Linked DNA regions of Rattus norvegicus. The protein of the gene in region 1 interacts with the protein of each later gene in a biochemical or structural test. Links are inferred from orthologs where the notes say so. Each region holds a gene or a part of one and is shown in the gene's direction. Other genes may lie near its edges.

The links.
Region 2: the proteins of Erbb3 (region 1) and Tns2 form a complex in vitro, tested with the Homo sapiens proteins (2 studies listed by BioGRID and IntAct, with this or other methods). The link is inferred for Rattus norvegicus from reciprocal best matches to the Homo sapiens genes ERBB3 and TNS2.
Region 3: the proteins of Erbb3 (region 1) and Nrg1 form a complex in vitro, tested with the Homo sapiens proteins (8 studies listed by BioGRID and IntAct, with this or other methods). The link is inferred for Rattus norvegicus from reciprocal best matches to the Homo sapiens genes ERBB3 and NRG1.
Region 4: the proteins of Erbb3 (region 1) and Hck form a complex in vitro, tested with the Homo sapiens proteins (2 studies listed by BioGRID and IntAct, with this or other methods). The link is inferred for Rattus norvegicus from reciprocal best matches to the Homo sapiens genes ERBB3 and HCK.
Region 5: the proteins of Erbb3 (region 1) and Sh2b3 form a complex in vitro, tested with the Homo sapiens proteins (2 studies listed by BioGRID and IntAct, with this or other methods). The link is inferred for Rattus norvegicus from reciprocal best matches to the Homo sapiens genes ERBB3 and SH2B3.
Region 6: the proteins of Erbb3 (region 1) and Abl2 form a complex in vitro, tested with the Homo sapiens proteins (2 studies listed by BioGRID and IntAct, with this or other methods). The link is inferred for Rattus norvegicus from reciprocal best matches to the Homo sapiens genes ERBB3 and ABL2.
Region 7: the proteins of Erbb3 (region 1) and Nck2 form a complex in vitro, tested with the Homo sapiens proteins (2 studies listed by BioGRID and IntAct, with this or other methods). The link is inferred for Rattus norvegicus from reciprocal best matches to the Homo sapiens genes ERBB3 and NCK2.

Annotation. Positions count from the first base shown.
Region 1 is NC_086025.1:1,578,579-1,580,979, reverse strand, and holds the end of Erbb3 (receptor tyrosine-protein kinase erbB-3), read left to right. Parts: coding exon 1-163; 3' UTR 164-1,901; downstream 1,902-2,401. UniProt on the Homo sapiens protein: Tyrosine-protein kinase that plays an essential role as cell surface receptor for neuregulins.
Region 2 is NC_086025.1:135,122,559-135,124,781, forward strand, and holds part of Tns2 (tensin-2), read left to right. Parts: coding exon 1-332; intron 333-434; coding exon 435-524; intron 525-815; coding exon 816-941; intron 942-1,149; coding exon 1,150-1,242; intron 1,243-1,359; coding exon 1,360-1,437; intron 1,438-1,525; coding exon 1,526-1,603; intron 1,604-2,041; coding exon 2,042-2,210; intron 2,211-2,223. UniProt on the Homo sapiens protein: Tyrosine-protein phosphatase which regulates cell motility, proliferation and muscle-response to insulin. Phosphatase activity is mediated by binding to phosphatidylinositol-3,4,5-triphosphate (PtdIns(3,4,5)P3) via the SH2 domain.
Region 3 is NC_086034.1:66,811,276-66,815,441, forward strand, and holds the start of Nrg1 (pro-neuregulin-1, membrane-bound isoform), read left to right. Parts: upstream 1-1,366; 5' UTR 1,367-1,763; coding exon 1,764-1,863; intron 1,864-4,166. UniProt on the Homo sapiens protein: Direct ligand for ERBB3 and ERBB4 tyrosine kinase receptors. Concomitantly recruits ERBB1 and ERBB2 coreceptors, resulting in ligand-stimulated tyrosine phosphorylation and activation of the ERBB receptors.
Region 4 is NC_086021.1:162,030,518-162,034,632, forward strand, and holds the start of Hck (tyrosine-protein kinase HCK), read left to right. Parts: upstream 1-1,315; 5' UTR 1,316-1,513; coding exon 1,514-1,575; intron 1,576-4,115. UniProt on the Homo sapiens protein: Non-receptor tyrosine-protein kinase found in hematopoietic cells that transmits signals from cell surface receptors and plays an important role in the regulation of innate immune responses, including neutrophil, monocyte, macrophage and mast cell functions, phagocytosis, cell survival and proliferation, cell adhesion and migration.
Region 5 is NC_086030.1:40,409,656-40,412,245, forward strand, and holds part of Sh2b3 (SH2B adapter protein 3), read left to right. Parts: intron 1-565; exon of another isoform or gene 566-588; intron 589-918; coding exon 919-1,020; intron 1,021-1,098; coding exon 1,099-1,190; intron 1,191-1,265; coding exon 1,266-1,360; intron 1,361-1,440; coding exon 1,441-1,655; intron 1,656-1,732; coding exon 1,733-1,904; intron 1,905-2,015; coding exon 2,016-2,338; 3' UTR 2,339-2,590. UniProt on the Homo sapiens protein: Links T-cell receptor activation signal to phospholipase C-gamma-1, GRB2 and phosphatidylinositol 3-kinase.
Region 6 is NC_086031.1:71,310,949-71,314,448, forward strand, and holds part of Abl2 (tyrosine-protein kinase ABL2), read left to right. Parts: intron 1-668; coding exon 669-842; intron 843-1,237; coding exon 1,238-2,961; 3' UTR 2,962-3,500. UniProt on the Homo sapiens protein: Non-receptor tyrosine-protein kinase that plays an ABL1-overlapping role in key processes linked to cell growth and survival such as cytoskeleton remodeling in response to extracellular stimuli, cell motility and adhesion and receptor endocytosis.
Region 7 is NC_086027.1:53,205,567-53,209,778, forward strand, and holds the start of Nck2 (cytoplasmic protein NCK2), read left to right. Parts: upstream 1-1,412; 5' UTR 1,413-1,499; intron 1,500-4,212. UniProt on the Homo sapiens protein: Adapter protein which associates with tyrosine-phosphorylated growth factor receptors or their cellular substrates. Maintains low levels of EIF2S1 phosphorylation by promoting its dephosphorylation by PP1.

The DNA of each region.
Region 1 (2,401 bases):
CGAGGAGATGCGAGCTTTCCAGGGGCCTGGACATCACGCCCCCCATGTTCGTTATGCCCGCCTCAAAACTCTGCGTAGTTTAGAAGCCACCGACTCTGCCTTCGACAACCCCGATTACTGGCACAGCAGGCTTTTCCCCAAGGCTAATGCCCAGAGAACGTAAACTTCTGCTCCGTGACGCTCTGCGGGCGTGTGGCGGCAGCTAGTGCCTCTTCGAGGGTACCCCTTCCTCATCCCTCTCTCTGAGGTCCCACCTCCATTTCTCCAGTCCTGTACAATGCCATCCAGTTCCTAGAGACTTGTCAACATATCCCCGCAAACTTTGCGGTACGTAGCCCTGTGTGTCTCCTCTCCCAACCCCGTTCCTCCGCTTCCTCAGGGACTCTCCCTGGAGATATGAAGGATTGCTCTCTGGACCCTTTTGCTCAGGTTCTTACTCATGGGGATTAGACTCTTAAACGTCGCCTTTCCTCCCCATCAGACTCTGAAGAAGGGAAATAGAGGAAAGTACACATTTTATGAGACTTTTAATCCCAGGGGAAGATTTAGAAGCTTAAAGCTTTGAGGAATTAAAGTTAAGAGTAGATACCAGTAACTATGAACTGAACATTTACTGTGAGTCAGGCACCTTCATGCTGAACTCTGCCTACAGTGTCTCAATTATAATCTTTCCAGTTTTGTGAGATAGAACTGATCCCACGTTTCACCAATACAGACTCTTTTTGAGTGTTCCAAGATAGCCAGTAGGCCCCTGAATCTGTGAATAATATTGAATCCTGTGGTTTGTTTTTTTTTAACATTTTAGTTGGTGTACAAAACTAAGTTCTGTGTTTAGTAACTTTTCCATCTTAAATAAGAACTTATCGTTCTTTTTAGTTTGAGGTGCCACAGCAGAGGTTGTACTAATTTTTCTATTTTTCTAATTTAATGTATTTTTATTATAGACATTACCATATGATCCCCTCCCCCATGTGAAGTCAAGAACTTCCACCTTTTCTCAAAGAAAACGCTTCTCTTTGACATGTCTGAGTTGGCATGACTACTCCTGCACTTTGGGCCTGTTTTTAGATAAAATGGGTCTTTGAACACAAGTAGTATGGTATTGCTGTCACTCGATCTAATAAGCAGGTGGGTAATTGAGTACAGAGCAAGTAGGTTATTCAGTGTGGGCGCACTAGGCAGAGGGATGATTCATCTACCAAGTGGGACAGGAAAGGGTGGCTGTGACTTCATCGTGCTACTCAGAATGGTGTACGATGTAAACTGTAGGGATTATTTATTTCAGGAACTTATCATTCAGCATTTTCAGATTGCAGTTGATCACAGGTCACTAAGACTCTGGACAGACAGCAGAACCTCAGAAAATGGGGGACTGAGCCTTGAAGAAATAAAGCAACAGGTCCAGGATTCAAAATCTTCCCATTTCTCATACCTGTGCTTGTACTATAAAGTGTTGTGTAAAGCTGGGTCTCACTCTGTCAACTGGCCTGAAACCATGTAGCCCAGGATGGCCTAGGACTCCACACACAGCAACCCTAGCTTCACCTTTTGAAGGCTGTGGCTACCAGTCACATTTCTTTATGCACTGAATCAAGCAAATGCTACCAGCCACTTTTCCTCCAGCACCCAGGCCTCTCATCTCAGGAAGGAGTGGAGACTAGATAGAAGGACAAGTAACCAGACATGTTTGTGTAAGCCGCAGGCCATACATGTTGCAGATACATACTCCTTACAAGCCAATTCGCAAAGGTTCCAAGACTTGTATTTTAGGAGCTGTTCTCAACCAGTAATGAGATGGGATAGAAAGAGGATCCACCTTCAGACCTCAGTCTTCCTGGATGGGAACTGGGGGGAAAATGCTTCTTGTACCATTAAAGTTTTTTTTTTATACTGTCTAAAAATGTCAACTTTTTTGATTGTTTTTGTGTACTCCTGTGAAGTGAAAAATGCATGAGGCCGTTCCTTTTCTTGGCTTCTTAGCAATGGATGGCTTTCTCTGCTTCTGACACTCTGTAACAAGTAATGTTCCAAGGCTTTTATTTGTTATGTTTTTATTTTTATTTTTTAAAGATTTATTTATTTATTGTATACAAGTACACTGTAGCTGTCTTCAGACACACCGGAAGAGGGCATCAGATCTCATTACAGATGTTGTGAGCCACCATGTGGTTGCTGGGATTTGAACTCAGGACCTCTGAAAGAGCAGTCAGTGCTCTTAACCACTGAGCCATCTCTCCAGCCCCATTTGTTATGTTTTTAAGATTTTAATTATGTGTATGTGAGAGAGTGGGGGTTTGGGAATGGTGTTACGTTCACGGAGTGCAGTGCCCAAGGAAACCAACACAGTGCTAGAGTTACAGTCATGTAACTTGTGCTTGTGCATGGGTGCTGGGAACTCCCT
Region 2 (2,223 bases), about 130 Mb from region 1:
TCCTCGGAGCCCTGTGCCAACCACCCTGCCCGGACTCCGCCATGCCCCATGGCAGGGCCCTCAGGGCCCCTCAGATAGCCCAGATGGCTCCCCTCTTACTCCTGTGCCTACCCAGATGCCCTGGCTTGTGGGCAGCCCAGAACCACCTCAGAGCTCACCCACCCCTGCGTTTCCCCTGGCTACCTCCTACGAGACCAACGGTCCCACTCAGCCTCCACTTCCTGAAAAACGACACCTGCCGGGGTCTGGGCAGCAGTCATCGCCACCAGCCAGAGGCACCAATCAGCATGTCACCTTTGCATCTCCTCTCCCAGATGTCACCCAACCCCCAGGTATAAGGCTCTAGGAGGACCAGGTGTCCTTTAAAGAATCTCACTGTCCAGAGAGAGACCATGGGAAGCCCTGGTGTCTGAATCAGTGCCTCCCTCTTCTAGAGCACCCTTTACAAGAGAACCAAAGCAGTGTCAAGTTTGTCCAGGATACATCAAAGTTCTGGTACAAGCCTCACCTTTCCCGAGACCAAGGTAAGAAGCCAGAAAACATCATGTGCCCATCCCAGTCCACTTCCCAGGCCCGTCTTGGCTGTAAGTCTGTCATCCTGGTAGGGCTTTCGGTTCCTTCTGTCTCTGCTCTTGGCTGGGTTACTCCCCAAAAGAGATTCTAAATTTGGGCCTCAGACTAAATATTATTCAAAGTCCTATGACCCAAGGCCCCAGACTCCCGCAGCCCCCCACGGCTGTCAGAGTGAGAAACTTGGGAACCTGCTAGTGGGACTGTCTGAGGCTGACAGCCATCTCTAAACTTCTGCCCTGCAGCCATTGCCCTGCTGAAAGACAAGGATCCTGGGGCCTTCCTGATCAGAGACAGTCACTCTTTCCAGGGAGCCTATGGGTTAGCCCTCAAAGTGGCCACACCCCCACCCAGCGCCCAGCCATGGAAAGGTACAGAGCTCTCAAGCTGAAGGTGCAGATGTGGAGAGGGGAGAATTTGCAGGACTGGGATAGTGGGAGTGAGGAGGTGCACAGCACATCTCCATGTGGGGAAGGGTTGAGGCAAGCCTGCAGCTGCTTGGGAAAGAGTCCTGTGGGGAGAAACTGAGATCCTGGAGTCCCATAAAGCTTTACTTTTACAACCCCTCATTCCTCTCAGGGGACCCCTCAGAACAGCTGGTCCGCCATTTCCTCATTGAGACTGGACCCAAAGGTGTGAAGATCAAGGGTTGTCCCACTGAGCCCTATTTTGGTGAGAACCAAGAGTCTGAGGGGGTTCCAGGGTGGATGGTTAAAGGAGAGACCTAAAGAAAGGAAGAGAAAGCTCTGACTGTGGACCCCTATGATGTTTCCCCCCAACCCCTCACAGGAAGCCTGTCTGCCCTGGTCTCACAGCACTCCATTTCTCCCATCTCCCTGCCCTGCTGTCTGCGAATTCCTAGTAAAGGTGAGTGATCCGTCTCCTCCACCTTACTTCAGGGTGGCTTGGAGAGCCTCTCCCTCTTGACGTTCCTTGGTGGCCTTCATCTCCTCAGATCCTCTGGAAGAAACCTCAGAGGCCCCAGTGCCCACCAACATGAGCACGGCAGCAGACCTCCTACGCCAGGGAGCAGGTAGATCCTTGCTTTCCCCTTCCTCTCCCTGGTAGTTAAGAGGATACCATGGACTCCAGGTACAGGGAGGGGCACTGAAAGGGGTATGGGTGGCAGACCCAGCAGGTATATTTAACCTGCAAAGGCAGAGGAGCCCCGTGTTTTCAGGAGGTGAGGAAGGGGGTCACTGACCAAGTTCTCAGGGTTTACAATACAGGAATCACAGCGGCAACAGGCAAGAACTTAAAGTGTGTCTCCTCAGTCCTCCCCCCAGTGTTACTGGCTGTAGCTCCCTTGGAGTCTGGAAGTTGCCATTCTAATTTGTCAGTGTGTGATTCCAGTGCATTCAGGCAGCACTGGTCAGGGAAGTGCCCAATATGGTGGGATAAGAAGCTAATGGGTGACAGATCCAGGTCCTGGCAAAAGCATGTAGCTCATTAACCTACCTCCTCTCTTTAGCCTGCAGTGTGCTCTACCTGACCTCGGTGGAGACAGAGTCATTGACTGGCCCTCAAGCTGTGGCCAGGGCCAGCTCTGCAGCTCTGAGCTGCAGCCCTGTCCCAGTGCCAGCCATTGTCCACTTCAAGGTCTCAGCTCAAGGCATCACACTGACAGACAACCAGAGAAAGTAAGCGTGGGCA
Region 3 (4,166 bases), on another chromosome or scaffold:
AAATGATTCTTAAGACGATTTAAGTGAACACCTTGCCCACTTCCCTTCCCACCCATGTGTGAAAGGTGTACTCTGGATTTCACCTTTCTTTAGATCATGGCAGCCAGAGAACACAGAGAAAGCTGTAGACAGCAATGGGTCTGTTAGTGTTAACTCCAGGAAGTCAAAAGGAAGGAGCCAAATCACCCTGAAAGTGGGATAGCTGTAGAGTATTGATCGTTGGTGTGAGCTGTTTCTCAACCACAACTCTATACCACTGTAAATGAGCAGGCTAAGTTGGCCACAAGTGTGTGTGTTGATGACAGTGTCTCTACACGGAGACCAATGTGAATCACTTCTTGGTGCGGACTACTCTGGCCTCTGACTCCTCCTCAGAGTTCTCTACCTGGATACAGGAAAACTAGAATTCACTAGCAGTTCTCAGAAAGTCTAATAGGGGTGTGTGTGTGTGTGTGTGTGGCATTAATGAACTAAAGATCTGGACTACACAGTTCATTGTTCTACGGTCCCAACTCACTCCCTCACTCGAGGATCTGACCCTACCGACACACCTTAGACTCGTTACTGTCGATGGTGAATTATGGCTCATTAGTTCTTTTGGAAATTAAGTTGTAGAAAGAGATATCTGTGCTTAGGAAGAAGCTAGAGTGAGTATTTAAAATGGAGATGGGAAATCCAATAGTCATGCTATTAGGCACAGGAAGGCAGACACGTGCTCAAGTGGCTGATGGTACATCAGTGCAAACTGTTCATGCTTGAAGTTCACAGAACCCTTCCTCAGTACCTCAAACTCCGTTCCACCCCAGACTGCACCTTCGCCCTTAGTGCCAGAGAGAAACTTCCCTAAAACAGAGAGAAATGAACTCTGAACCCTTCTGGGAAATAGCAATTGTTCCTCCCCCTCCCTGGGATTCCAGGTCTCCAGAGCAATCATTGTGGAGCAGGTGCTACAGTTACAAACTTTTCTCCATCTTCCACCCTTCACTTCCCCTACCACGCACTTTTCAAGGCTTGGATCAGCTCAGCAGCCTGCCAGGGACTGCTAGCACCAGCGTCCCTTCCAGGGCTCTCCAGACTGCTCCGTTCGGTCTGGCGGCGGCTGTGGCAGTGTCAGCGCAGCTTCCAGCGACCCCTGTCGGGAGTTCCCGGCAGCCGCTGGGCTCGGCCGCCCCCAGCTTGGCCGGGCTGCCAGAAGAAAGGGGCTGAGCCGCGATCGCCCAGCTCAGGCTCCTCCCGGTGGCGTGTCTGCGCCTCGGGGTGGGGGTGTGGTGGGGAAGAGGGAGGGGGCGAGGCGAGGGGAGGGTGCGAAGGAGGCGCCTGCGTCCAACCTGCGGGCAATTGAAAAAGAGCCGGCTAGGACTTCCCCAAAACTTGTGGGAACTCCGGACCGCGCGGGCAGCAGGAGCCGAGCGCAGCGCAGCGGCCGCAGCTGCCGGGAGATGCGAGCGCAGACCGGATTGTGATCACCTTTCCCTCTTCGGGCTGTAAGAGAGCGAGACAAGCCACCGAAGCGAGGCCACTCCAGAGCCGGCAGCGGAGGGACCCGGGACACTAGAGCAGCTCCGAGCCACTCCAGACTGAGCGGACGCTCCAGGTGATCGAGTCCACGCTGCTTCCTGCAGGCGACAGGCGACGCCTCCCGAGCAGCCCGGCCACTGGCTCTTCCCCTCCTGGGACAAACTTTTCTGCAAGCCCTTGGACCAAACTTGTCGCGCGTCACCGTCACCCAACCGGGTCCGCGTAGAGCGCTCATCTTCGGCGAGATGTCTGAGCGCAAAGAAGGCAGAGGCAAGGGGAAGGGCAAGAAGAAGGACCGGGGATCCCGCGGGAAGCCCGGGCCCGCCGAGGGCGACCCGAGCCCAGGTGAGTGCCAGCCGCTCCGCTGCTCCCAGGCGGGCACCTACTCTGGTCCCGTGCGTCCCTGCTCAGCTCTCTTGGCGCCTGACCCGGTCCCCGAGCTGCGGTGCGGGGGCTGCCTCCACCTGGTGCCCGTGCGCTTCCCGCACCCCGAGCCTGCTGGTCATCCCTCCGGGGCCCTTGGGGTCGGCTGTGCGCCGCGCTCCCGGGCTCTGCCCTCGGTCCCCGCGTCAATCGCGGAGCCCAGCCCGGGAGTGGGGCTCCGATTGCGGGATCCCTACGGGCTGCGCGTGCCCTGCGGCCCGAGGACTTTGAGCGGGCCGGGTCTGCCCTCTAGCGAGAGAAGCGGGAACCGGCTCTGGGTTCGAGAGCCTGCGCCCCTCCGCCTGGGCCCGGGCTGCGCGGAGGGTGGTCGGGGAAAGGGTGGTGTGGGCGCCCGGGCGTCCGCGAGGTGGGCGGAGGGAAGCGGTTGGACAGCCGCTGTGCGAGCCTAGGATCGCTCTGATTGCGTGCGGCGATAGAGAAAGCCAGAGCGGCTGAGAGGGATTCCTAAAGGTCAGCGAAGCACGCAGAACCTGACCCGGTGCCAAGATTCAGGTCCGCTCTGAATAAATTTGGCTTCAGCTGTTGAAGTTTTCAGGGTTGCCCTGATAAAAGATGGCTAGTTTAGTTTCCCAAGAGACGTCAGAAAGGAACAATTTACCCCAGGTTTTGAACCCCATTGCTTACCGATTATATATGGAATGAAAAAGGGGTGGGGGGAGTTAAGGTTTTTTTGTTACCAGATCTTTTTAATCCACCGTCGGAGCGCAATCTAAAGGCCACTGCCACCCTAGATATCTCAAGGGAAGGCTATTACATTGACTTGGTCAGAAGAGGTATAAAAGGTCGCCTGTGACCAAAACTTGTCAGAGTTATTAAATAGATGCTTAAGGGGTGGCGCCTGAGAGGGTCTTTACCGTCCCTCTGCAGTCCCCTACAGTGGATCTGGATGCCTTGTGACTCTTAGAGCATCCCCAACACACATTGTGAAGTACTTCAGGGAAATTAACAACACTTGTGCAGTCTGTGCCTAAAGGAGATAAGCAGAAATATCTGCTCCGTGCAGGAAGAAAACAAACCACATTTTCTTAGTGCGCTCCTTGGATTCGCTCAGCATTTCAGAACCTGGGTTGTTGGCAGGGACCCTAAGTAAGGTTTAGAACAAAACAGAAACCGAACAGAGAGTAATTGTTTAGCCACTGGCCCGCTTAAAAGGCGCTGCTGATCTGTTTCACCTTAATTACCCCGCGTGAGCCTTCCTGAAGGTAGACGGATGTTTTCCCAATATTTACTGTATATTTTGGAGATTAACTGCAACATTGTACTCAACAAAGTACGGAACAACAGGGATCTGGGTTAATGTCATCATAGTATGTTAAAGAGACCCAGAATCGTAAAGGTATAAAGAACTTTCTGTTTCACTTGTCACCACTTGTGGCTTTTATCAATGGTTTGCATGGGCTGGTTAGACCGGTGGTTCTCAACCTGTGGGTCGCAACCCTAGGGGGGTGCGAGCCAAAGGACCCTTTCTTTCTGAGGGAGATTCATAACAGTAGCAAAATTACAGTTACTACGTGGCAACGAAATAATTTTATGGTTTGAGGAACTGAATTAAAGGGTTCAAGCGTTAGGAAGGCCTGAGAGCTTAGTTGCTCTCCTGAATTGAGATGGGGTGGTGGCTTGACTAGGTAGCGACTCTTTCAGTAGCAAGCTTTATCTCTCAACTAGGGCGCTAAGTCCACAACATACCTCAGATGTTTTAGTGAAGGCAGTGGTTCAGGTGGGGAGAGGTTAGACGTCTCAGGGCTGTCTGCAGCCTTGACTCACCTGGTGGGCATCCGTCTCAGGGCTACCTAATGTTCTTAGGGAAGTCTAGAGTTTCTTCTCTGGCTCCCTTGTGTATCTGTAGCCCCACAGCTGTGACTCTAAACCAGACTCCATGATATATTCTTCCCCGTTTCCCAGAAACAAATTGGGATGATGTCTGTGGGCTAGATTTTAGTTTGTTTCCTATCATGATATGATTGGGGGTAGAAGGGGTGAATGGAGAGACACTTTGCTCCCTCCAGAGAACTTTTTTTAACCCCCTTTAGGATTCTGTCAATAGATCAAACCAGATTAAGAGCATTTATTCTTTTGGTTTGCAAACGGTCACCTTGAAATTTGCGTTACGTAGAAATTCAGGGCATTAGATTGTCTTGCTTTGGATATCACTGTTTCTGCCTTTGCCTTGTCACGCTTCCTTCTAATGGTAAGTCCCAGTCTGA
Region 4 (4,115 bases), on another chromosome or scaffold:
AGTGGGTGGGACTCAGAATGTTGCTAACACAGGGTGGTACTCAGAAGAATTCATGCCCAATACACACTACAGCTAAACGCGTGCCTACACGCATGCGTAAATGAATGGGCGACACTGGTGGTCTAGCCCGGCTAGAGGAGGACCCCTGTACGTTTCCGCAGGTGTGTATCGGGCGTTCAGAGTGTTGGTTCCTGTCAGATGTTCTCTACCCTCTTGTCCCAGGCTGAGAGGAATGCCATGCAAACAAGGCCTCAGTGGTCTGCGGGTCAGACTTCCTCTCCTTCAACTTGGGAGGTCCTCTGAGCAGTCCCATATTCTGCCCAGAGAATAAGACAGAGAGCTCCTGCAGGCGCCAAACTTTGCATGGAGTTTGAATAAGCGGCGGGTGGGCAGATGGAGGGAAAACCGCTGCGTGTGGGAGGGACCAGAGGGCCTTGGAGACCCACCAGAATCCTGGAGGGCGTGGTTAGACTTAAAGGGAGCTACATTCCTTCTGTGGCTGGTTTAGAATCTTTGAAGTGAAGGGCAGAATCCGTTGACCGCTCAAGTGCAGGATTTGGGATTTATGGGATTAGGATCCCGTAGGCGGGAGTGGACGTAGTACAAACTATGGGGAGCGAGGCCCTGGATTCCATCCTCTGGAAAACACACACACACACACACACACACACACACACACGCCCTCGAGATTATAAATCTAGAGAACAGGGGTTAGGACTGGGAGCTGAATAGAATAGAGGTTAAAAATTCTTCGCCAGGAGGAGGCGGGTAAAGATGCCTGCTGCCGAGCATGGCTCCCTGAACTAATTCCTGGGGACTGGCAAGATGGAAGGGGGGAACCCTAGTCTCCAAATTGTCCTCTAACCTTTACACGGCACAGAAGCTCGAGGGTAGTTATACACATACGCATACACGTAATCAATCAACCAATCAATCAATAAATGTAAAATATTACAATTCTTTAGAGGCCGCAAGGGTATGGGGTCTCTTGAGTAGGAGGTCAAAAATCCCTGGGGGCGTAGGGTTTAGACTCCTTTGCACCAGAACATTCCATCAGGTGGGGCTTAAATGCGTTAGTGGGGGTGGGGGGACTGGGAATCTTTGGAGGACCAGTCAAACATTGGAGTCTAAGTCAGTCCTTCAGGGACTGGTTAGCGCCCTTGAGGACAGGGTTAGCATAAAGATGCTAATTTCTTTGGAGTGGGTTAAGAGCGGGAAACCAGAGAGCCAGAGTGAGAGTTAGACTCTTAGAGGGCGGAGTCAGGGCATTTTTGGGGCGGGGTTTACATCATCCAGGGTGCGGCTAAGGCGCCCAGATGGCCAGTGAGCACCACCGGGTTGCCGCTCCCCGCTTGCACTTTACGGTTGCGGCTCTCAGACGGGTGGGAGGGAACCAAAGTCGCCGGTAAAGGCGGCTCTGACCCGCTCGGAGCGCCAACGCAGCCTCCGTAGCCCGCAAGTCTTCGTCGCTTGCTCCGGGCTCTCGAGTCCGGGGCCACCAGGGGCCGCGGCGCTGGGGGGTCGTTCGAGCTGCGAGGATCCGGGCTGCCCGCGAGGCGAAGGGCGGGTGCCCAGGTGAGTGCGAGGAGGAGGCGAGGGCGGGAATGGGACCCCGATAACGTGCAGACCTCCGGGGCAAGGAGTTGGGATCCTGGGTGAGCTGTGGGGGTGGCGAGGAAAAAAGGATCGTCCTAGGGGCAACCGATCGGTGGTGGGATGCGCCATTCACAGAAGGTGGAGAGTGCCCAGGTGGCCAGGTGAGGCGAATTGCTGCCACCCAGGGCGACCCTGGGATAGCTCTAGATAGAGGAAGCTCAGGCAGGGGGATGACAGTGCTGAGCTGAAGCTTCTCTGCTCGACCAGGTTCCCCTTCTGCGCACACACACACACACACACACACACACACACACCCCAAGAAGAAGAAGCTGGAGGGGAGGGAAAAGCCCGGTCGGTTCCCATTAGTGGTGGGTGGGTGGCAGGTCACGCAGGGTAGGCAGCGGGCAGGGCTGAAGGAGCAGCTGGGCCAAGACAAGCCCATGCCTGCCACACCCAGGCCTGGCTGCAGCTGTACGTCTGAGTCCCCTCTTTTACATCTTCCCCTGCCCTCCTGGCTGACCCCCTAACAGGTGTACACCCAACTCCAGAACCCCTTACACAAGGGCCACAGTCTACCACCATCTCCTCTTTGTGACCCTGGGGCACGTCGCTGGTTACTCTCTGGATCCCAGCTTCCTCCTCTGTAAAATGGGCTGTTTTCTTCTGAAGCTGAGTTGTTCAGAGAGGGCGAGCAGGTCTGCTGGGCATTGGACAGGCAGTCTGGCTTTTCCGTGCCTGTTTTTATAGTTGCAGGATGGGGATGGTAAACTACTCCAGATCAAAGGTGTTTAGGATTTTGGAGTGTGGCAGAATTCTGTATCTTAAGTGCACAGTGAGGCATCTTGGGGATAAAATCTAAGTTTTAAAAAGATATTTGTGTTTGATTCATATGCTTCTGGGTGGGCGCACAGGTTGGCGTGTACTCTGGTGTACTCATGGTGGGCACATGAAGGCCAGAGGACTCTGTGTTGTTCTTCAAGTAAAGTCCACCTTGCTTTTGGAGACAGGGTCTCTCATTGGCCTGGGGCTTTTGCTGAGTAGGTGAGGCTAGCTGGTTAGTGGGTTCCAAGGGTTCGCCCGTCTCCTTCCTAACACTGAGAGCTGAGCAAAACTCCCAGCTGGCTTCTTTTCATGAGTTCTGGGGTTGTAACTCAGTTCCCACTTTTTGCAAGGTACTCACTTTACCAACTGGGCTATCTTCCCGGCCCCATGATTTTTACATTTCATTCTCATCCCTTGGAGATAACTAGGGGCACATTTTTAATGACTCCTCCATTTTTAATTCAACCCGTAGCCACTTGGATCATCCTGTCGGTGCCCAAAATGTTTCAGGTTTTAGAGCATCTCGGATTTAGGCTTGGGAATTCACTTTGAAAGATGAAATAAGAACGGAAGGAAAGGGAGCCCAAGGGGTGGCTCTGCAGCTCAGAGCACTCGCTGTCCCTTCAGAGGACTCTAGCTAAGTTCTCACCCATCAATCACAGCAATGCCTCGAACCTGCCTATACCTCGAGCTCCAGGGAATCCATTGCCCTCTTTTGGCTCTGTAGGCACCTGCACACATGTGGTCTGTCTCTGTCTCTGTCTCTCTCTCACACACATTAAATCTGAGAGAGGGGGGTGGAGAAGAGAGAAAGATAGCTGAAGGAAATCTCTCGGAGCACTCTGAAGTGTACTTTCCCCTGTTCCCGTTCAGCCTAAGAGATTCTCATACCAGCATCACCAAGAAAGCATGTCAAAATGCCCATTGCTAGGGCAACCCCGAGAGGGAGGCCAGGGGGTCAAGATACTGAGGACTGGCAATCTCCAGGCTGTTGATGCTGCCCAGAAATCCGACTTTGTGAATCACTGCCCAAGCCTAGGGCTAGCCTAGAGAGGCCTCACAAAAGAGCAGTGGCTCTCTAGTGCCCTTCTCAACCATGCCCCTTCTCTGGAGGAGGAAGCCTGCTGTTTAAAGGAATATATGTCCCGGGAACCTACCACCCAGAATTAACTAATGTCGGTGTGTGGGTATGTTTGCTTCAGACTTTAAAAAGTGAAATGGTGGGTTGGGGATTTAGCTCAGTGGTAGAGCACTTGCCTAGGAAGCACAAGGCCCTGGGTTTGGTCCCCAGCTCCAAAAAAAAAAAGAACAACAACAAAAAAAAAAAAAGTGAAATGGCTAAGTGTGCTGGGTAAAAAAAAGTCCCTGCTTTGGATCCCCTCAGTTCTTTTTCCCCCTCTACAGGAGACCCCACTGTCAAAAGCCGATCCTTCCTCTCTGTGCCTCAATAAACAATACACAAATGCGTCCTCTGAGCTGTAAAGATTACAGCAGAGCCCAGTGCAGAAGCACACCTGCAACTCCAGAACTTGGGCGTAGAGGCAGGGGGAGCAGAAATTTAAGGTCATCTTTGGCTATAGCAAGAGTTTGAGGCCAGCCTAGGCTATAAGACCCTGTCTGTAAAAAAAAAAATAAAAAATAAAAAAAAATAGAACAATCTATATCTGTTCACTTTGGTCAACAAGGGTTGCTTCCCA
Region 5 (2,590 bases), on another chromosome or scaffold:
GGCCTCCAAATGTACTTAGGGTTCTGGCTAGATCCTCCCACAACCTGCATTCCCTCAGAAGTCCGAGCAGATGGACCATAGGCAGTGCTTAGGCACCCTGTCCCCAGCCTAGTGCAGGGTCAGGCATTCTAGCGGGTAGCTCAGGACAGGCGCTGCGACTCTGATCCTTTTAAGGCTTGCATAGGGAGTTGAGAAGAGTCTGGATGCTGGCCAGCACACAGCAGTTGTAGACAGGAGTGGGGGTCATGTCTTATCCACTTGGCCAATTTCCAGCAGGTCCCCCTTCACTTCTGTTAGCAGGCGGTTGACCAAAGCCAGTGGCATGGGAGTGGACTCTGCAGAGAGCAGAGTTAAAGCTGGGCTCTGATGCACCTGGTAGTAGTCTTCTAACCTGGGACAAAAGCCACGGAGGGAGGAGAAAGGCCTGTCCTTCCTACTTCTCTGGCTCTGCCAGTTAATTATCTCAGCCTCTGCTGAAGCTGGTCCTCAGCCTGCTCAGCCAGCTAGGACAATCTTTTTTTTTTTTTTTTTTTTTGGTTCTTTTTTTCCGGAGCTGGGGGACCGAACCCAGGGCCTTGCGCTTCCTAGGTAAGCGCTCTACCACTGAGCTAAATCCCCAGCCCCCGTGCAAGGACAATCTTATCACAAGAAAAAAGGACCAGAGGGCAGGGAAAGGGTGGCTCCCCCCCCCCCCCCAGAACTCTGACCCTGAGAACTGGCATTTGTGGAACTCACCAAACCCAGAAAGGTGGCACCTCCAAGCTGTGGTATATGTGACTCTTGCAGCTTGCTGAGCCCTGTTCCCATAGGTGGGAAGTTGTAAGAGAAGGATGTTCTGTGCCTCCTTCCTCTAGAGAGACTACCTGAGAGGCCTGAGGGGGCGGGGGGAAGCCTTGAATGATCCTCTTGCTCTCCTAGAGCTCAAAGCCCAAGCTCCAAGAGGCCTGCTCCAGCATCCAGGAGGTCCGACCCTGCACACGCCTGGAGATGCCGGACAACCTCTACACCTTTGTGTTGAAGGTGAGCGCCAGGGCTGTGGCTCCTTGGGGAGACACTGCTGTCTCCTCAGGTGCAGAGCTATATGCCTCCTTTCTGCAGGTGCAGGGCCAGACAGACATCATCTTTGAGGTGGGAGATGAACAGCAGCTGAACTCATGGCTGGCAGAACTCAGGGCAAGCACAGGCCTAGGGTGAGGACCTGCCCATCCCTGGTTCCCTTTGATAACCCCTGCTGGCCCCCTTCTCACCAGCCTCTTCCCCTACAGGTTGGAGCACCTGGACACAGAGTTACCTCTTTCCTTAGTGGCAGAGCCTGGCCCAGCTATATCCCCAAGGGGAAGCACGGACTCCCTGGACCAAGGTATGTGCCAGATCCTTGGTCTCTGGGTGTCCTTGGACATGTGGCCCCTCTGCGGGTCACCACCACCATCTTTCTGCCAGGTGCTTCACCTGGGGTGATGTTGGACCCAGCCTGCCAGAAAACAGATCACTTCCTGTCCTGCTACCCCTGGTTCCACGGCCCCATCTCCAGGGTGAGGGCTGCACAGCTGGTTCAGCTGCAGGGCCCTGATGCCCACGGTGTGTTCCTGGTGCGGCAGAGTGAGTCCCGGAGAGGGGAATATGTACTCACATTCAACTTACAGGGCAGAGCCAAGGTAGGGGCAGGAACTGGGGGACCAGGGTGGGGCAGATGCAGCCTGGGCAGCAGGCTGATCTCTACCCCTTCCCACAGCACCTCCGCCTGGTGCTCACAGAGCGTGGACAGTGCCGGGTGCAACACCTGCACTTCCCCTCGGTGGTGGATATGCTCCGCCACTTCCAGCGCTCCCCCATCCCACTTGAATGTGGAGCAGCCTGTGATGTCCGACTCTCTGGCTATGTGGTAGTCGTCTCTCAGGCACCAGGTAGGAAGCCCAAAGTTGTGTCAAGGGGTGGTGTCACAGCAAGTACAGCACGTACAAAACTTCCTTCCTGGTTACGCCTTCTTCATGGAGTCATCCATGTTATCTCTCCAGGTTCCTCCAACACCGTTCTCTTCCCCTTTTCCCTTCCTCACTGGGACTCAGAGCTGGGCCATCCCCACCTCAGCTCTGCTGGCTGTCCCCCTGGCCATGGTGCAGAGGCTCTCCGTGGCCAAGTGACACCTCCTGAGCAGATCTTCCACCTGGTGCCTTCTCCTGAGGAACTGGCCAACAGTCTGCGGCAGCTGGAGCTTGAGTCTGTGAGCAGTGCCCGGGACTCAGACTATGAAATGGACTCCTCCTCACGGAGCCACCTTCGGGCCATTGACAACCAGTACACCCCTCTCTCACAGCTGTGCAGAGAGGCAAACTTGTGAATGTAACCATTTTCCTTCCCTCCAGAGAACTACAGGCTGCTGCTGTCAGCCTTCCCCAGCTCAGATGTGCCCTGCTTCCACCACACACAAGGCTGTCACAGGCTTCCTGTCAGCCACAGCTAGCCCTGGCTTCTTCCCACTGTCTGTAGATGTAGTTCTTGTGCACAGGTGCCACTAGCTGGCACCCAAGGCCTCGTTCCCAACCCAGAGGAGGCGGGGCTGCAGGCCCAGAGCTGGCAGTGGAAACTGACA
Region 6 (3,500 bases), on another chromosome or scaffold:
GTCCCTGAGTCACAGAACAAGTATCATATTTATAATAGCTCAAACTGGGAACATCCTATGTAAACACCGAGAGGAGGACAAATGAATTTTGGTAGTCTCACACATCAGAATATTTCATGGCAACGAGAAAGGGATCCTGCCACATGCAATGAAAAGTAAACCTGCAGGAATAATAGTTATTATTATAGTTAGTGAAGTGTTTGAATTCAGATCCCCAGCCACCAAGTGTGAAGCCAGGCGTGGCAGCACATACCTGTGTGTGGGAGCTGGAAGTAGGAGCTCTCTGCTGAAGCTGAGCTCCAGGCTGGCGAGGGACCCTTTTCTAAAGGGTAAGGTGAAGAGCTGTTGGGGAAGAGGCCCGGCATCAGCCTCTCCCTCCATGGGTGAGGTCACACATAAGACTTCATACGCTCATTTCATTTCTATGCTTTGTATAATTTTGTTGTAATTTTCAAGATGACATTTTGCTAAGGCTGGTCTCCTATTTCTGTGCTGAAGAGATCCCCCAGCCTCAGCCTTCTGAGCAGCTGGGACTATAGCGCAGCCTGTACACCCATCTGCTTTTACGAACTTCAGTATTCAGCTCTCTGCTTTTCTTTTTTCAATTATATGCCTTGGTCTCTGTCTTAGAATTCTTTTCTTTTTACCAGACTTTGTCTTTTTCACAGAGGTAGCTGAGGAGCTTGGGAGAACTGCCTCCTCCTCATCTGTAGTTCCATACCTGCCTCGACTGCCACTACTTCCTTCCAAGACAAGGACCCTGAAGAAGCAGGGGGAGAACAAAGAGAACCTAGATGGGGGCCTTGATGCCTCCGAGATCCTGGCCTCCAGCTCAGCACCAGGTAGGAGGGGGCAGAGCAGAAAGGGTAACCCTTGAAGAACAAAGGACCACAATGCTACTTGGCCTTGGGTCTGCATTGCCAGTGTGGGCAGTTTTATCCAGTCCTATGCAGTCTGCTACCAGATCTGTTTGTTTAGTTCCTGGCTCCTAGGTAGCTACCCAGATGGGTGATGGTGTACACCTATCTTCTATAGAAGGGACAAATACAGAAGAGACCAGCAGGTACTACTGAGGCACTAATGTACAAATCACGGCTGGAACACTAGTCACTGAGTCAGTGACTTATTTGTGAACTTCCTGAGTAGTGCCAACATCTGACATTCAAGAAATGCAGACGGAACTTTCTAAGGTAGTCACACTAACTGGCTTTTCTGTTACTAATTGGCCATTTCTCAGCAGGGTTCATTAGAAGCACCCAGGCCTCCAGTGGGTCCCCAGCTCTGCCTCGAAAGCAAAGAGATAAGTCACCCAGCAGCCTCTTAGAAGATGCCAAAGAGACATGCTTCACCAGGGACAGGAAGGGAGGCTTCTTCAGCTCCTTCATGAAAAAAAGAAATGCCCCCATGCCCCCTAAGCGCAGCAGCTCTTTTCGAGAAATGGAGAATCAGCCCCACAAGAAATATGAACTCACGGGTAACTTCTCACCTGTTGCTTCTCTGCAGCATGCTGATGGGTTCTCTTTCACTCCCGGCCAGCAAGAGTCGAATCTGGTGCCAGCCAAGTGCTATGGGGGGAGCTTTGCACAGAGGAACCTCTGTGGTGATGATGACAGTGGTGGGGGTGGGGGTAGTGGCACTGCTGCGGGTGGGTGGTCTGGTATCACAGGCTTCTTTACACCTCGCTTAATCAAAAAGACACTGGGCTTGCGAGCAGGTAAACCGACAGCCAGTGATGACACTTCCAAGCCTTTTCCAAGGTCAAACTCTACATCTTCCATGTCCTCAGGGCTCCCCGAGCAGGATAGGATGGCAATGACCCTTCCCAGGAACTGCCAGAGGTCCAAACTCCAGCTGGAAAGGACAGTGTCCACCTCTTCTCAACCAGAAGAGAATGTGGACAGGGCTAATGACATGCTTCCAAAAAAATCAGAGGAAGGTGCTGCTCCAGCCAGGGAGAGACCAAAAGCCAAACTATTGCCCAGAGGAGCCACGGCTCTTGCCCTGAGAGCCCCTGATCCAGCCATCACTGAGAGTGACTGTCCAGGGGTAGGGGTGGCTGGAGTGGCAGCTGCCCCCAAAGGCAAGGAGAGGAATGGTGGGACGCGGCTTGGAGTCGCTGGAGTCCCAGAGGACGCAGAGCAGCCAGGCTGGTCTTCTCCAGCCAAGGCTGTAGCTGTCCTCCCAACCACTCACAACCACAAAGTGCCAGTCCTTATCTCACCCACTCTGAAACACACTGCAGCTGATGTGCAGCTCATTGGCACAGACTCTCAGGGGAACAAATTCAAGCTCTTATCTGAGCATCAGGTCACATCCTCTGGAGACAAGGACCGACCCCGACGGGTAAAACCAAAGTGTGCCCCACCCCCGCCACCAGTGATGAGACTACTGCAGCATCCGTCCACATGCTCAGACCCCGAGGAAGAGCCAACTGCCCCCCCTGCAGGACAGCACACTCCAGACACCCAGGACGGAGGAAAAAAGGCAGCTCCAGGGCCAGTGCCCAGTAGTGGGAAACCTGGGAGGCCAGTGATGCCTCCACCTCAAGTGCCTTTGCCCACATCTTCCATCTCGCCAGCCAAAATGGCCAATGGCACAGCAGGTACTAAGGTGGCCCTGAGGAAAACCAAACAGGCAGCTGAGAAAATCTCAGCTGACAAAATCAGCAAAGCGGCCCTGCTGGAGTGTGCCGGCCTACTGTCCAGTGCAATCACAGAACCTGTGCCCCATAGCCAGCTGGTGGACACTGGGCACCAGCTACTCCACTACTGCTCAGGGTATGTGGACTGCATCCCCCACACTCGCAACAAATTTGCCTTCCGAGAGGCTGTGAGCAAACTGGAACTTAGCTTACAGGAGCTGCAGGTGTCTTCCACAGCTGCTGGTGTGCCTGGGACAAACCCTGTCCTTAATAACTTATTGTCATGTGTACAGGAAATTAGTGATGTGGTGCAGAGGTAGCCATTGTCAGCCTAGTGGGGAAATGCACATTCTGAGGGGAGAGGGAAAGGGACTTGTTTTCCTGTGTTCTCGTTCTCAAACAGTGAAAGACTGATACTTGAGTGTGTTTATGTGAAGTACCTCAGACCCCTGAGTTCTCACGTTTACAGGTTCATCTCAGAACAGCAAAAAGGAAATCACATAAATAGATAAAGTGAATGTGGTGGGGCAGGGCAGTGTGGACACAGTTGGAAACTGCACTGGAAAATAAGCGAGCATCATGCATACATCATAAAAGTGCAGCCCTCCCTCTCTGGAATGGCCTGTGGCCTCCATTGGGCTGCTCTCAGTTGTGCTGCATCATGAAACAGGCCTTGACCTGGCAGGTCCTGGGGGTTATCACGTTTCAGTTCACCCTGCAAATCTGGGGAACAGGAGAGAGCAAGTGAGGGATGTAGCAGGCGCCGTTTTATTCAAGGCTAAAGAAGTGTCTGTTGGTCTTGCTTCCACGGACATTGCTGTTATAGCAAGAACTGCAAATTAGATTACCAGAGTACTCA
Region 7 (4,212 bases), on another chromosome or scaffold:
AAACTATTGATTAGAGCTCTGCTTTCATTGTTGCAAAGCTAGATAGTAACAAGATGAGGTCTGCATCAAAGGATGAAGTTAGCGTCTCTGACTGGAAGAGACTGTTGGGTATGCTAATTTTGTATCTGATTCCTCCCAATGCCCTAGTATCGGCTACATGCCAGCTACTTTACATAGAGGGCAGGTAAACATCTCATGTGTTAAAGCTGAGGAAGTTGTGAAAGACTTATGTAAGGTGACACAGTTCAGGTAGCCTACAGTCAAAGGCTGCTATGACGATGGTGCCAAGCTTCCTCAGATTACTTATGCCTGGGAACTTCCTTTAGGGAGGGAGGCAGCTGCCTGGTCACTTAAGGTGTATTGCTGCTGCCTTCCTTAATAAGGAGGAGCCAAGAGATAGGGTAGAATCTCATTAACATAAACGTGAGTTGTCCAACCGGAAAACTGAATTCATTTGAATATCAGTGTTTCCTTTGGGGAATCATGAGTGAAGGAGCTTGGAGAAGGAACATCTGGATTCTGGTGTGTAAGGTATATGTGTTCCTTCCCCTCGCTCTAGGGTTCTAGCTTTCCAAGTTTGCTTACAGGTTAGCTATTACTCAAGGCTGGGAGAGAGAGACTTCCTTCTAAAGCTTTCTCAGCCTCCTGTACTAAAGAATTCCGGGGCTTTAAGAAGCTGGCCAGGGCGCTGCGGAGGCAGCAGAGGTCGGGTTTCCTCTCCTCCCCCCCCCCACTAGGAAGTGGTCCCGCCTGGGGGGCCGGGGGTGGGGTGGAGTAAAAAAGTGTCTGGATGGGAAAGTAAATAAATGCAAGGCAAATAAATAAAGAAAATGCCCACAAGCAATTACTGGGAGGAAGTGACATTTTCACGTAAGTCACTTTTCTGACAGACACCAGGCCTGTTTGGCTGAGAGTGCCGTGGGAATGCTTGGGGGGAGGCGGGGTAGGGAGATCGCTGTAAGAATCCAAGGCACAGCCGGGGTGCGGAGACCACCGGGTCTCGTGTGCTGGAAGTGGCCCTTCATTCTCCCTTGCAGCCCCTCCCGTGTGCCCCCAACTCCAATTTAGAACGGGTTACGGCTTGAAGCCCGCAGGCGGCGCTTTCCCTAGGCCTGGCCGGGACTCCCAGGTGGGTACCCCGCCCCGCGTGCGCCGGGATGGGCCGGCCCCTGGGCGGCGTCACGGCAGCCGGGGAGGAGCGCGGGCGGGGAGCGCGCGGAGGCGGGCGCTGCGCGGGAGGGTCGCCGCCGCAGATCGCAGGCCGGTGCGCGCGGCCGAGCGGGCGGCGGCGGCGGCGACAGTGGTGGTGGGGTGGGCTCGGCGGCGGGCAGGCTCGGGGCTCCCGGGCCGGCAGGGTCCGCCGGGTCCAATTGCGTCCGCTTGGTGGCGGGAGGAGGGAGCGGTGCAGACAAAGAGCGGCATCTGGGCGGGCGCAGCGCGGCCGCCGCCCCGGGACTAGCGCTGCTGCCCTCCGGCCTCGGCGTGCACTGTGCAGCGAGGTAAGGCGATGGCGGGGGCTGCAAACTTGGGCCGGTCGGTAGAGTTGGAAGAGAGGGGTGGGCGGGCCGGGGCCGCCCTGGGAGGGCCAGGGAGCGCGTACCCCTGCGCACCCGGCTAGTGCCCTCGGCCCCGGCGCGGCCTGCCGTCCCCGGGCACCCGCACCTCGGATACACACCTTCCTGCGAGCCCTCGCCTCCCTCAGCCTCGGGCTGGCGTGGGGGTGGGGCGCCCTCCGCGGGCAGACAACGGGGACCAAGGACCGAAAGCCCTCGGGAACACAAGCAACCCTGGCCTGCCGGCGGGCGTGGGACCGAACCTTGGTCGAGTCGCCGGGCGCGCGTGCCTGGGAAGAATAGCCTAGGATCCGAGGGCTACAGCGCTAGGAAGCGGGAGGCTGCGATGGCCGGGGAGAACTTACTGTACTTCGTGATCCGGCACAAAGCTGCTGTCACGTTCTCTAAAGGAGGTCTTTGCCTCGGCTCAGGGCGCTTTTGTGCCTGGTTCCAGTCCCTGCGCCCGGTCCCGCATTTCCAAGACTTAAACCTCTTGAACCAAAGTTTTTCCCAGTTGTTCTGCCCCCTTAGTTTATTCAGGGCGATTTAAGCAAGTGGTTCTGCAAGAATTTGATGTGTGACTTTTAATGTCCCGATGGCACCTCCCTTTTGAGCACTTTTAGCTTGGCATTGTGTGAAGGGGTTTGATTTGGAAAACACTTATTTATACACAACAACGATTCTCCCGGAAGGTGTGCGCGGGTGGTGGCTAATGGATAGCAGACGTGACTTAACAGTAGTATTGTGAACAGCTTGGGAACACAGCTGGGCGCCAAGTGGAATGGGCCCTGTCACCGTAGCCCATTCAGGTCGGCAGCTTCCTCCGTATTTGACTTTCCTTATTTTGCTAACAGGTTTAAGGCCGGTCTTGCCAACTTTGCATCTGTGTGTGTGGTGAACAGGTCCGAGTTTGGGCTGGAGGTGCACAGGCCGCCTCCTTGGTTGACCCAAAAAGAAACAGCCCATTGACCAGTGGGCGTGGCTTGCTGGTACCCTCCCTTGGAGACTTCTCTGCTCCTCACCCACTGAAGGCTTTTCTGCTGGGATTTTGAAGAGGAATGAGAATAATTTTGGGTGTGTTTCAAGCCTGGGTTTTTTGGTATAGTTAGCAACAGTGGTTTTCCAGTCTAAAGGTCACTACTTTATCAGAACATCTGAACTGCGCTGTGGGCACTCCCTCCATTCACTTTCCAAGTTTATAGATACAGACTTAGAAACAGGACTTTCGTGCTTGTGCCTGGTTTATGTAGTGAAGGCAGCCAATGGACACATGGAGAAGGTGCACTTTAGACAGTTAAGGTTTTAGACCTTCGGGTCTTTCCTAAGTGACCACAAGGGACAATCCCGCCTTAAACTTTCTCACCTCCTGGTAGGTTCCTGTAGTTTTGACTGAAGAAAGTAAAGGTCGAAGTGATCTGAAGCTGAATTGAGAACTTTGTGCAGCTGTAAAGTTTTGAGTTACAGCTTACTGCCTGTCTTGCTCTCAGCTTCTGAAATGTGCTTGAACAGAGTCCCGTTTTTCAGGATTGGAAGTTGCTATGAGAGCTCTGGCCACTTGATAGGTGATTTGCCCACTTGTGGAGAAACTGACCTCATAAAAATGGGTAGAGCTTATAAAAGGTGGTTTCCAGCTCCTGGTCGTCTGTTTTCAGTCCTTTTCCAGGCTTTCAGTTTTGCTTTTCCCAGCAGTCCTTGCTTCCGTCTCCATCCTCCTTTTCTCTTTGACCCTGTCATATTCCTGACCTCTGTCATGTACGTTGGGGTACTGAACATTCCCGACAAACAGCAATGCCCAGGTGTTTGAGAAAATGTGCTTTGATCCTTGTTAAATCTCCCCAGCTCTTTCCAATGTTGGAGCAGACTGGACCCCTTGAAAACAGCCATGAGACTCACTGATTGCGTAGCGACCTGGAGGTCTTTATTTGATCACTTGCATTAGCTTAATTTGCCCTGGCAAGACCAGACTTGGTTGCTCTGTAGGGCACATATGCTTCTAAGTGACTGGCTTGCAGTGTGCACTGGGGCTGACATGACTTGTGGAAATGATTTTCTGATGTTCAGAATGAGCCTTAATGACTGAAGAATTCAAGACTGCTTGTCCCACGTGCGGAACAGTGCAGTGAACAGTGTTGGGAGAAGCTCATAAGCTAACTCTTCTTTACAAAAGAACTGGGAAGCTTCCACTAGAGACTTAGGAAATGAGTTTTCCCATCCAGAGGGACTTCAAATGTTGCTTCAGAATTATTTCTCCTTCCTAAAAATGAGTGATGGAAACACTTCTCAGGGTGTTTTCAAAGGGCATAAGTGAAAAAAAAAAAAGACAACATTTGTGCTGTTATGTGTAAGTTAGGTGGCTCAGAGGAGGTCAAAGCAGTCTTTTAAAACAAGCTATCAGAGGTATGCAGCCCTGGTGAAAATAATTCATTTCTTTAGGCCATCAGAATAGTGCAATTTTTAAAAAAGACTTTTTTTATTTTTCAACAATTCACTTTGGACAAATCACAGAGAACGTGATGGTAGAGTCTTTTTAGGGAACCATACCCACATTCCCACCCCTCCTCCCACTTTCTTCTGAAGTAGACTTCCTGAGATTCTCAGTGCTCCAGGCCATGAAAAATACTCTTTAGGTCGACATAGCAGTGCCACACTAGGGTTACGG